Linked DNA regions of Coturnix japonica. The protein of the gene in region 2 purifies or fractionates together with the protein of the main gene of each other region. This does not show direct contact. Links are inferred from orthologs where the notes say so. Each region holds a gene or a part of one and is shown on either strand. Other genes may lie near its edges.

Region 1 (5,876 bases), on a different chromosome or scaffold from region 2:
CCCTAGTGTACTCTTCCTGCAGAAAAGGCTGTGTTTTGCAAGAGAGTGCTACGAGAAATTACAAAATAGAGTTATAGGAAACGATACGGGAGCACTTCAACATGTTGCAGTGAAACCAGGCACCTACGCTATAGGCACAAACTGAGAGCGCTGCTTTGGTTTTCTGCTTCAGGATTATTGAGGAAAGTGAGTTGAAACATTATTTTTCCAAGTATTTAGCAAGCAGCACAGAAGCTCTGCAATCGCAGGCTGCAGATAGGGTAACAGATGCCTGAATTCAGGAGCACACACATACGAACCATCGAGGAACTGCATGGAGGTGCGTGCAATACTCCTACACCACGCTGCCAGCCGACACCTTTCCCCCAGCTCCAGCAATAAGAAATTTAAACGCTGACTTCCCACAGCAATCCCAGGCAGTCAGCAAATAAGGGAGCACACACCTAACCCCTCTCGGGCCATCCAGCAGGCTGGACTGACAGTAGTATGGGGCTGGCATCCTGCTGGCACTGGGGCAGGCTGGAGCTGTGTGCATGGGGTGAGCCTTATCGGAGTTAGCGGAAGCGTAATATATGTCTTCCTAACCACATCTGAAACATTCACTTCTGCTTTAATGGCCGAGGCAAAAATAATAATAACGTGTAGTCGAACGATAGTCGCAACTTTAATTTATAGCTCTTAAAATAATTGTTTGGAGGAGTGTAATCCCAGCTATGCATACGGATTATGGTCTTCACCGCATCTCACTGGGAACAGCATTAAAATTTCATGTATAATAATACCTAGGATATCAAAACAAGGTATCGGCTTCCCTTTATTTAAAACGACACTTTTCCCCCCTCAAGGCTGGAGAAGAATATTGTTAAGTGTGCCTGCAGCCTTCTAAAATAAACCTGGTTATGTGAAATTAAGATGAAGTCCGTCTGATACAGAGTTATTTTTCTGTTCACTTAAAATCTTAGGTTAAAACCTGAAAAAAAGCCCGGTGTGAGATGCTGACCTTACCTCCTGAAGAGTTGTGTTCACTACCTGAGAAGGAAACAGAGATGATAACATATAATGTGCGTGAGCACCGGGAGGCTAAGATGGAGTCCCTGTTTAAGAGTAGTGCCTCTGTACAAACTCACTTACTTTCAAAGTAGCTGAAATATCCCTCTTCCTAATACATACACAGGGACTGAAGTGGCCCCTGCTCTGCTCGGCAGCCCGTGGTCAGCTCCTGGCCTCCCTTAACCCTGCATCTCACTGCCTGAGCACGGCCCAACATGCTTCTGTGCCGATAAAGGTCACCCTAAAGGCTGCAGAGGGGCTTCTGAGCTAAACCGTATGAAAGAAATCCCAAGGGATCCAAGTTTTTAACACTGTAATTAGCTCCAAGTACCAGCTAATGCTGCTCAGGAAAGGAATCAATATCAAATTAACAGGCTAAGTTGTCAGAAAAAATAGTGACTGTATTAAGCACGCTGATCAATGCGAGCACTTGGTGCTATGGGCCGGGTCCTGCTGCTGAGGCAATGGGGAGCTCTGCCACCACATTCAGCTCAAGCAGCACAGCCCTGCTGCCTGCCCTTTGGAACAGTGATAGGGAGTTCACTGAAAATTCAACACAGCTGATAAAGGAGCAGCGTTTGCCACAGCAGCTGGCAGCGAGAGCCTCGGCTCAGTGTGCAGTACCTACTGAGCCGAGGCTGGCACCATGAGAATTTAACCCTTTGCCATACTCCATGATCACCCTCACACAACAGCCGGTGCAGCTCAGCTCCAACACTGCAGAGTACGTGGGTTTCAGAGCCCTGCCCCACATTAGCTATGCCCCAATAAACTTTGTGCTCCTGTTTTCCTGAGCCTGAGGTATGGCATCCCAACGCTTCCCCCACAGCACTCCACTTGGAACCTAGCAGCACGTCAGTCCTACTCCAGAACTACGGGGTGAGGCAGAGCTGCCAACAATGCAGCCAGAGCTGCTTCAACCCGCAGTATTCCTGACTGGTTCACGCACAGGTTAACCCTGATGCAAGGCAGGGAGAATCGAAGTAGAAACCAAACCTCCCTGTAGCACAAGGAAACTTCCTGCACACATGCCCTCAACAGCCCCATCCCTTAGCAGCAGCTGCGATGCCCCACACACCCCAGTAACGTTCTGCAGCAGCACCCACAGATCTGTATGGCCGCATGTCAGCTCCAAAGGGCCGACAGCCGGCCATGGGAACAAGCCCAAAGCAAGTGGGTCAGGCAGTGCCCACCTCACACCCCATTTACACTGGGTAAGCATTGCCGGGTTGTATGGGTGCAGGGCCTCTCTCTGCCAGGCTGGGTCCGTCAGCAACACAGTAGCGACCTCAGCGCAGCCTGCCGTGCTGTAAGCTGCTATCACCCCAACGGGCACGATAGATGGATGGGGTAAGTGAGGGGCACACAGGCTGGCAGCACCAAGCCATCACTCTCGCAAACCCTGTCATCTCCATATGAAAACGGAGCTTTGGGCTTCTCTCCACCACCTTTAGGAACGGCAGAGCTGGCAGTTGCTGGAGGAAAACGCAAGTCAATCTACATGTGAGCTTTGGGCTGGCACCGCACGAGAGCAACTCCGCTTATTTCTGTTGCGAGTTACAAGGTCCCTACAACTTGTACAAAATAAAAAGCCTTTAAGAACACCGTCTCCTGCCTTCCCTGCTCGTCCCCCTGCACCAGCCGGCGGCCGAGCGGCGAAAGTCCCATCCCTTCCCATCCTCGTCCCCTACGCTGCGGTCAGCCGGCAGCCCGTCCCCTCACCTTCCATCCGGCCGAGCTGTTGCTGTCGCCCTTATCCTTGAAGTAGGGCACGCACCGCACCATCCAGTCGTAGATCTGCGACAGGGTGAGCCGCTTCTCGGGGGAGCTCTCGATGGCGTGGGTGATGAGGTCGGCGTACGAGAGGTTGCCCCACGCGTTGCGCCGCGACGAGCACTTCCTCGGCGCCGCCGCCGCGGGGCCGCCGCCGCTCAGCCCCCCGCCGCCCGCCGCCGTGGCCGCTCCTCCCGGCGCCGGCCCGGGCCCCTCCGGGCCGCCTCCGGGCACGGGGACCGGCGGCCGCGCCGCCTCCTCGGGGCCGCCGGCGGCCGCCGCTTCGCCTCCCACGGGGGCCGCGCCGCCGACGGCCATGGCCGCGCCGCCCCCCTCCTCGTCGTCGTCCTCCTCCTCGGGGATCATGGAGGCGGCGTCGGCGGCCGGCTCGCCGGCGGGCTTGGCGGGGCTGGCCTGCAGTTCGGGCCTCTGCAGCGGCCAGGTGCAGGAGCGGGGGCGGCTCTGCGGCTCGAACTCGGGGTCCAGCTCCACGTCCAGGGGCGAGAGCGGCCCGGGGGGCGACGCCTCTGCCATCTCGGCCTCCCTCGGGGGCGGCTGCGGCGGCGGCGGGGCGCTGCGACGGGGCGGGCGGCCGCCGGCCCCGCTCCTCCTCCGCCGCCGCCTGCTCGGTGCCGCCGGGAGCCTAGCGGGCGGGCATGCCGCTCCCCGCGGGCACGGAGCGAACGGGCGAAGCCGGCGAAAACAACGAACGGAGAGCGAAAAACGCGATTCAATCGGGCGGAGCGCCGGAGCGCGGTGCCGGGGTGCGCTCGGCGCCGCGAGTGTGCGTTTGTTTATGTTTCTTCACTCCATGCGGGCTCTCCGGCTGCGTCCGCGCCGTACCTGGCCGTGGGGGCCGGCGAGCACCTTCCCTTCCTCGGGGGGTCCTGCGCTCGTCCCGGGGAGGCACCGAGGAGTCCGTCCTTCTTCGGGACGCCCCGAGGGGAGCGTGGATCCCTGCGCGCTGATCGCCGTCACTTCGCCTTGCCCCCAAACACAGCGGCACCTCCTCGCCAGAAGAAAGGAAAAAAAAAATAACAACACCACAAAAAACCCACAACGTAATAATAACGATAGAAATCCTTTCTCTCACGGGGGAAAAAGCGAGCACGAGAGGGACGGATCGGCGCTCCTCCAACAGGTCCGGGAGCTTTAAGCCCTCCCTCGGGCTGCCGAAGCGAATGGGTTTTGTTCCAGCAGCACCGCCGCGCTCGTAACCTCGGCGCTCATAACCTCCGTGCTCCTGCCGCTGCCATCTTGACAGTTCCCTCCGCTCCAGTCACCGAAAAACCGCGGCCGGGGAGCGGTGGGGACAGAGCCGACGACCGCCCCCAGGCCAGCGGAAAGGCGAAGCCCAGCGCCCGGCAGCGGCGGTGCTGGTGTTGGCGATACAGCCGCTCCTGCCGCTGCGCGGCTCCGCTCCGCCCGCTCTGCGCCCGGGGCTCGGCGGAGCCTTCCCTTTAAAGGCGACGCGGGGGGAGGCGGCGAGGCGAGCGGCCCGGCTGCCGCAGCCCGCCCCAGCTGCCCGTGGCCCTGCCGGCCGCCAGTTGGCACGTCCCTCCTCCTCCTCGCCACAACACAAAGTTATAGCCGCGCGCACACAGCCGCAACCTAACCCAACGCAACGCAGCGCCCGCCCACGGGCGGGGCCCAGCGGGGCCTCCCACACAGGGCGGGGAGACGGGAGCGGAGCGCGGCCGGGCCCCTGCGCCCCTCCGCCGGGGGGAGCGGGGACGGTGGTACAGTGTCGTTGCATGTCCGCCCGTGTATCCTCTTGGATTTAAGCAACATGGGTGATTTCACTACTCCATACGCTGAGTTTGTGTCACGTTCGCCCGATCTGCTGCCTAATCCCACCTGCAGGTAGCTCTGCTTGTCGCAGTGGAGCAATAGCGCGCCTCCTAACTGGGCTGTGAATTGTGCGTACAAGTTATTCTTGTGTTACCTCCGGAGTCCAGTTTTGGTCCTGTTTTTGGTGCCGTGTTCAGGCAGCAGGGTGGAGAACACTCAGCCGATGCCCACGTGAAGGCCATCACCCCACTGTGTTCTCCACCCCTGACGGAAGGGCCTCAGAAGCTTGAGGATGTTGCTAATGACAGGTTGGGTAAAGGGGTGACCCACAAACCAGGAGCACGGCACTCTCAACAGCTCTTGCCTGGCTTTATGTCAGCCTCAGCCACGGACCAGAATCAGTACAAAACGTGTCGACTCAGGTGTGCTTCTGAAGCGTTTCCACGCAGAATTACTGTCTAGATCAAAGACCACGCAAGGCTGTGAGTGATGAGGCTTCCTCAAACACCACGAGGAGCCCAAGCAGGCCAGCTGCTGGCTGCCACCAACACCAAAGCCTTCCCCAAACCTGGCCGTGCTTGGGGGCAGCGTTTCCTCAGTTGCCAAGGTTCCACGCCGCACAGTTCCATACCACGCTTTGACCTTGGGCTGGGTTTCAAGCTGAAGTTCTAGTCCTAAATGATATTATCATCTTCGTTTATTTATTTAATTGGCATTGCATTGCTGCACAGGCACTGCCATTACGGCTCATTGTGCTAGGTGAAGGCCCCGCACGTGGTCAGAAATGCTCTACTCCCTGCCAGAATTGCAGCCTAAGTAAGACAGGCCAGGGCGGGAGAAAGGAAATAAGTAAGTAGTAACCCTATTAAGGAGATGATGGACCGAGGCACCAAGCAATTACATGACTCTGCTGAGGTCATACAGGAAGCCCGTGTCAGAACTAAGAAATAAAACCAGATCTTCTGGGTGCCAGCCCTGGCCCTTTGCTGCAGGATTCTCTTTCCTCTTCAAAATGTGCTCCAGCCAGACAGCCTGTTACTGCATAAGTTACAGTATCCATTCTCCATGCTTCCACACAGTGAAATAGAACGAGGAACCCGTTATCATCGCTGTTCTGTGGCTGGGAAGGCTGCGAGAGGAGTGATCCAAATTGAATCTAAAGCCTGCACAATTTCCAGCCTCTTCCTTTAAGTACCTAAACGCCCTGAGGGTGGGATTTTCAAAAAGCTGGGTTTATGGCAGTTTTATCGCTGACTTCAACA
Region 2 (5,449 bases):
TGTGTACAAATACAGTCTAAAGGAAAAGGCAGCTGTTTGGAAACACTGGATGTTTTAATCCCAAATCAGTAATGAAGTAAATAAACAAGCAGTTGTATGCAGCTGTGGTGATTCAGAAAAGGTTGAAAACTCTATGTTAACCAGTGGTACATTCGTATAGAAGGTATCGTGGTCGTTGCTGTTTGGGAGGTGGTGAGACTGTGCAGCCCAGTCTGGCTGGAGCCCAGGTCTGAGCTGGTTTTCATTGCCATCATTCATGGTTCAGCTGCTTTCTGAGCTGTCAGGTGTGGAGGCTGTGCCTCTTCCCACTCACCTTCCAGGTTTTGCAGGTGGCCGTTCTGAACTAACCCTGACCTGTGCTCTGTGTTTCTCAGGAAGAGGAGTGAGGCTGTACTACATCGGCGGGGAGGTGTTTGCTGAGTGCCTTAGTGACAGCGCCATTTTCGTCCAGTCTCCCAACTGCAACCAGCGCTATGGCTGGCACCCAGCAACGGTCTGCAAGATCCCACCGGGTAAGGACACGCGCGGGTAGGAAGAAACAGTGCTGCACAGTTCAAGCAGGATCTGCCGTGTATTCAGCACAGTGTGTCGATGTTGTTGTTGTCTAATAGTCCTGCTTATAACTTCATATGAAAGAAGGTAACTTTGGATTTTTTTCTCAGTTTAGATTAGCCCATAATAAACTGTTGCTGGTTTCTGTTCTGTAGTGCAGCCTTTTTTCTGTGAGCTTTATTCTAGAGAAATTAGAATAGAATCTAGAATGTCACTTGTGAGGTATGCTGAAATGTCAGAGGAGACATTATTGTGTGTATTTGGGAAAAGCTGCTATTTTTGTTAGATACACACATGAGCTGGGATGAGAAGATGCTTTTCAAAAGGCTGTTTAGCCAGGCTTCCAAAACCTGCTGCTTTTTTTTTTTTTAACATTTAAAAGTACTTATATGTTCAAAAAGTAACTTTTTCATTTAGAAATACTTGAATAAAGATCCTCTTTTTTTAGAAGAGAGATCCATACACTGCAAGTCCTGGCCCATCTAAATGGGTTTCCTTTCTCAGATGCTTAGGGAGCAGCTGCCAGTGCTACAAACATGACTTAATTCTCCAGCCACATCACAGGAGTCCACCCGGGCTGGAGTCAACATGTGAAAACATAAACAGCCCACATTTCCGCTGTAGATCCATCTCAGGCACATTTCTTGGACACCGGCTCTCCCTGCTATTGCCACAGCCCGGCTGCCTTCTCAGATTCATCTTCCATTTTTGTTGGTTTTGAAGCGGTTTCTTCATTCCGCTGTTGATGAGGCCGGGTTGTACCACTTCCTGCCAGGCACGGTCACAGGGAGACCTGCTCACATCGCTCCTGAGCTCTGAGCAGTTTGCAGTCTGATCAGACTGTTTCCTTTCCTTGCCATAGCTCGTTCCCTGTGCTCTCTCCCATCTTATTTTCCCCTCTTAGGCTGCAGTGTGCCCGGCACGGCACCCCTTAGTGCTCCACGAGGCCCGTGGCTCTTGGGCTGGGCTCTGTTATGGCCACAAAAACGGGCAGTTTTTATTTTGCAGCTGCTGAGCCATTGAATGCGGTTATGCTTTGCTGTATGTGGTTCGGCCCAAAACAGATGGCAGTGTGGGTCCAGCCCAAGGGAGCAGGCTCTGAAGGGATCTTAGAAAAATACAATTCATCACAGTCCAACTGGTTGTTTTTCAGACTTGGTCCATATGTAATTCCAAATGAGCACCAGTGGCATGCCAAGTTTCAGGGTTTAACTCATTTCTGATTATCAGGGAGAAAGCAAGAGTGAAAGTTAGGTATTTATTTACTTATTTTAACCACGGATAACGTGATTGCTTTTCACCTTTATCACCTAGGACAGCTGAACAGGTTGTTCTCTGTCTTTCAGCTGTGAGTAAACACTGAGGGGAGCACATCCCTTCTAAAGGAAAATTCTTTGGCACATCAGATTAAATGTACAGAGGTTACAGCTCTGCTACCAGCCCCCTGAACCCTGTATGTGGGCTCTGGCTGCCCAGAGCTGCTTCACTTCAGAACATTCATTCTGCTGACAGGCACCACATAAATCCAACACCAGCGAGTCCCTGTTTTTAACCCATGCATTCCTTTGTTTCAGGCTCTGTAGCAGTAGCTGTCAGTAAGTGTTACGGTCACAGGTGGGCTTTTAAATGAATACACAATGAAAATTAGTATAAATGAGGTTTCACCTGAGGATCCCAGGTCCATCATGCAGGTGGCAGCGTGATGTGTGAGTGATCTCTGTCCCATAATGTGGTTTTCAGCCCATGGGCTGTGGAAAACCCCAGCAGGCTTGTTGAAGTGCAGTCATTGAGCAGCCTGTGAATGGTGTCACATGGTCTGGGGACATGGGAAAGCAGCATTGAGTTTCTTTCCATTCCTATAAAGAAACAGATTTCTTAATGTGGCTAACACCTTGTTTTGGTCGTGTTCTTTATGCACAGGATGTAACTTGAAGATTTTTAACAACCAGGAATTCGCGGCTCTCTTGGCTCAGTCTGTGAACCAGGGCTTCGAAGCTGTGTACCAGCTGACCAGGATGTGCACCATTCGGATGAGCTTCGTCAAGGGCTGGGGAGCTGAATACAGGTCAGCCCATGTTCCGTGGTGTGTGGTGTGCTCATGCACGGCCCAGCAGTGTTCTGCACAGCTTTCTTATTCAGCCTTGAGATTGGGAGGCTTAATGGCGTATCTCTTTGGTAATGCACACCTTGTATTTGCTAAGAATGTGCTGACCTCATATCTTATTTTTCCCATTCTCTTTGTGTAAAACCTGCATCGTGGGATATATTGGAAACCCACGTGTGTTTGGTCACAGTGCTTTGCAGGCCTGGAGCCGTACCTGAAGCACATCAGACACATCTGTGTGGTTGTGTGGGAAACAGCACCTATTTTTTCTTAAACTTGGGTGTGTATTTGACAGGTTTTGGATAGTCGTAGTACGACACTGTTATCAGGACAGGATCAGTGCGAGCGCTTCCTCACAGATATGGGTTAGGTTTGGTGTTTTCTTTTATCGGTGACTAATAGAGGTTAAAGTCAAAACAACTCGGCATGAAAATGCACATATGGAAAACTATTGAGAGTTGCTGCTGCTATATCCCCTCATCCTGCTCTTAGTGCTTGTCATTGCGTGGCTACTTCAAGGTGAGTGGAGGCCATGGGACAAGCAGGGTCCCTATTAGATGTGAAAAAGGAGATGGAGTCTGGGATGGATGATGTGGTTGTTCTGACAGCACAGGGTGTGAGGACACAGAACTCTGTAATTCGTGTCACTGCTGCCCCACTGCATTAACAAACAAACATCCCTAAGAGTAGCAAAGGGAGTAAAAGTGGTGTTAGTAGTATGAGCAGGGGAGGTGAAATCTGTCAGAAAACAAATGTCATTTTATGAGAGAAAAAGCTGGCACAGACTTCAGCCAAATTCGATTTTGAAATACTTGCTTGACTGTGCACCCTTTCAGTCAGCCCCAATTGGAAGTGCAGGGCAGCCTCTGCCTCCCGGAGCAGCGCGGCTGTGCCGACGCGCCCTGCGTGCAGCTGCTGGCCGACAGGGAGGTGCCACGGCTCAGCTGCAGCCCCGTCCTGCACGGTACGCTCCCACTTTCTTCATTTCTCCAGATGTTTGGAGTCCATTTTGTTTTGAAATTGTCCTGCGCTCGGGCCAGAGCATTTCAGCCCTGGATCTCAGCCACCGCTCGTAATGAAATCCAGATGAGCGTGACTTACGGAAAGTCAACTATCTCATTAGAGTATTGTAGGCAATGAAACCCTGCGCTCACGCTGAAGCTGCTCTCCTGCTCCTTCATTTCCTTGCCACAAAATGCTCCATCTCTTCACCTTTGTCAGGGCACGTTGATTAGTTGAACTGGTGGGTATGGAGCTGTGTAGCTGTGGGAGCTGCATCCAGTGATTCTGGTTTGGCTGTGTTGCTGTTGGAGCACTGTGGGGTGTTTGGTACAGGGAGAAGCCAATTGCACGTGCAGGATGGAGGTTCTGTGTCCAGCAAGAGCCAGCTGTGAGAGCTCACCTTCAGGCAGGCTGCATTCAGTCTGCAGGTGGGAAGGCAGTGAGGTGTGCCAGGAGGGCAGGAGTGCAGCAGCCCCTCGGGCATTGGGTCCCTGCACGTTGTTGCTGGACAGTAGTTGGGCTGCTCAATGTTGACCCATTGTAGGCAGCAAATGGGAATGCTCTGTGTTAAGGGAGACTGGATCTTATGGGATCTCGGAGGTCTGTCTGTGTCAGTGCATCCCGCTGCCCTGGCAGCCTGCAGTGCTCACCGAGATGCTGTGACTGCCTGCATCCCATCAGCTCTGAGCCCTGCCCACCCGCCCACTCTGGGGCACTGCATCCCTGCCAGCGCTGCTCGGGAATGGGTGCGGTGCCTTCGGGAGCTGCTTCCTTTCTCAGCTCAAGGACAGGGGATGCAGCGCATTGCTGGGCCGCGCTCCAGCCCTCAGCCAAAGCCTCACACAGCCATACACAGCTCTGTGCCCTGCTGCAAAGGGATGGGGATGGTGCTGGGAGTGCTGGGCAGCCCCATGGGCACAGCCCCATTGCAGCAGCACTTTTTGCCCAGGCCCCACAGATTTTGGTCTCCCTCCCACAGGCAGATTCCAAGGACGGCTTCTGTGGGAAACGAGGGTGTAAACCAAGGCTGTTTGCAGGCTATTTCTCTCTCGTGGTAATCCTCCTCCTCCACAGCAGCTGTCCCTGCCTCTCTGCCTGGATCGAGAATCCCTCTGTCCCTGGGCACAGCCCCTGCCCTATATCCTGGTCCCGAGTCCCTCCCTGTCCTCCCCTTGTCACCCTGCTCTGCTGTCTGGAGGCATCTGTGGGCTCTGGCCCTCGGGAATAACAGGGCAGCAAATGGGGGATGCTGGGGGGCAGCGGGAAGTGAAGCACAGGGAGCACTGACCCTGCAGGCGTCTGATCCCCGCTGTTCTCCACCCACTGCCAGCAGCTACAGAGGTTTTTAAAGCACATCAGTTAATTCCATACTGCTGCTTTTCTGCCCTATGTGCGGCTGTAGAGTTGGGTCCATGCCTCCAGCACAGGGACAGTGGGGTCACTTCTGTCGCCTCTGATCTGGCCAAAACCCGAAGATGGGGTGAAAAGAGAACCTCACACACAGCAATCTGACATACTGTGCTTACTGACTAATCAGGAGGCACGAGGTGTGCAGAATTAAACTGGGGTGTTGCTCAGATAAGCACCTTATTCCAGAAGTCTGAGTAACAAATAGATGATATTGTGAGTTTCCCTCTGGGATGGCAGGGGATGTAAAGGGAAAGATGGGCGCTTTCAGGAAGTTGGCAGCATTGGCCAGGAGTGTATTAAAGAGGAGGGAGACTTTCCTTTGGCCCCACGTGCGGGACTGTTGTGTAAGCAGGAAAGAATGCTTCGGTAGCTGTAAAACCT

The links.
Region 1: the proteins of SMAD3 (region 2) and FOXO3 purify together in Homo sapiens (affinity purification with western blotting; 3 studies listed by BioGRID and IntAct, with this or other methods). This does not show direct contact. The link is inferred for Coturnix japonica from reciprocal best matches to the Homo sapiens genes SMAD3 and FOXO3.

The regions. Positions count from the first base shown.
Region 1 is NC_029518.1:61,257,160-61,263,035, forward strand, and holds the start of FOXO3 (forkhead box protein O3), read right to left. Parts: upstream 3,628-5,876; 5' UTR 3,358-3,627; coding exon 2,773-3,357; intron 1-2,772. UniProt on the Homo sapiens protein: Transcriptional activator that recognizes and binds to the DNA sequence 5'-[AG]TAAA[TC]A-3' and regulates different processes, such as apoptosis and autophagy.
Region 2 is NC_029525.1:17,088,577-17,094,025, forward strand, and holds part of SMAD3 (mothers against decapentaplegic homolog 3), read left to right. Parts: intron 1-374; coding exon 375-512; intron 513-2,472; coding exon 2,473-2,617; intron 2,618-5,449. UniProt on the Homo sapiens protein: Receptor-regulated SMAD (R-SMAD) that is an intracellular signal transducer and transcriptional modulator activated by TGF-beta (transforming growth factor) and activin type 1 receptor kinases.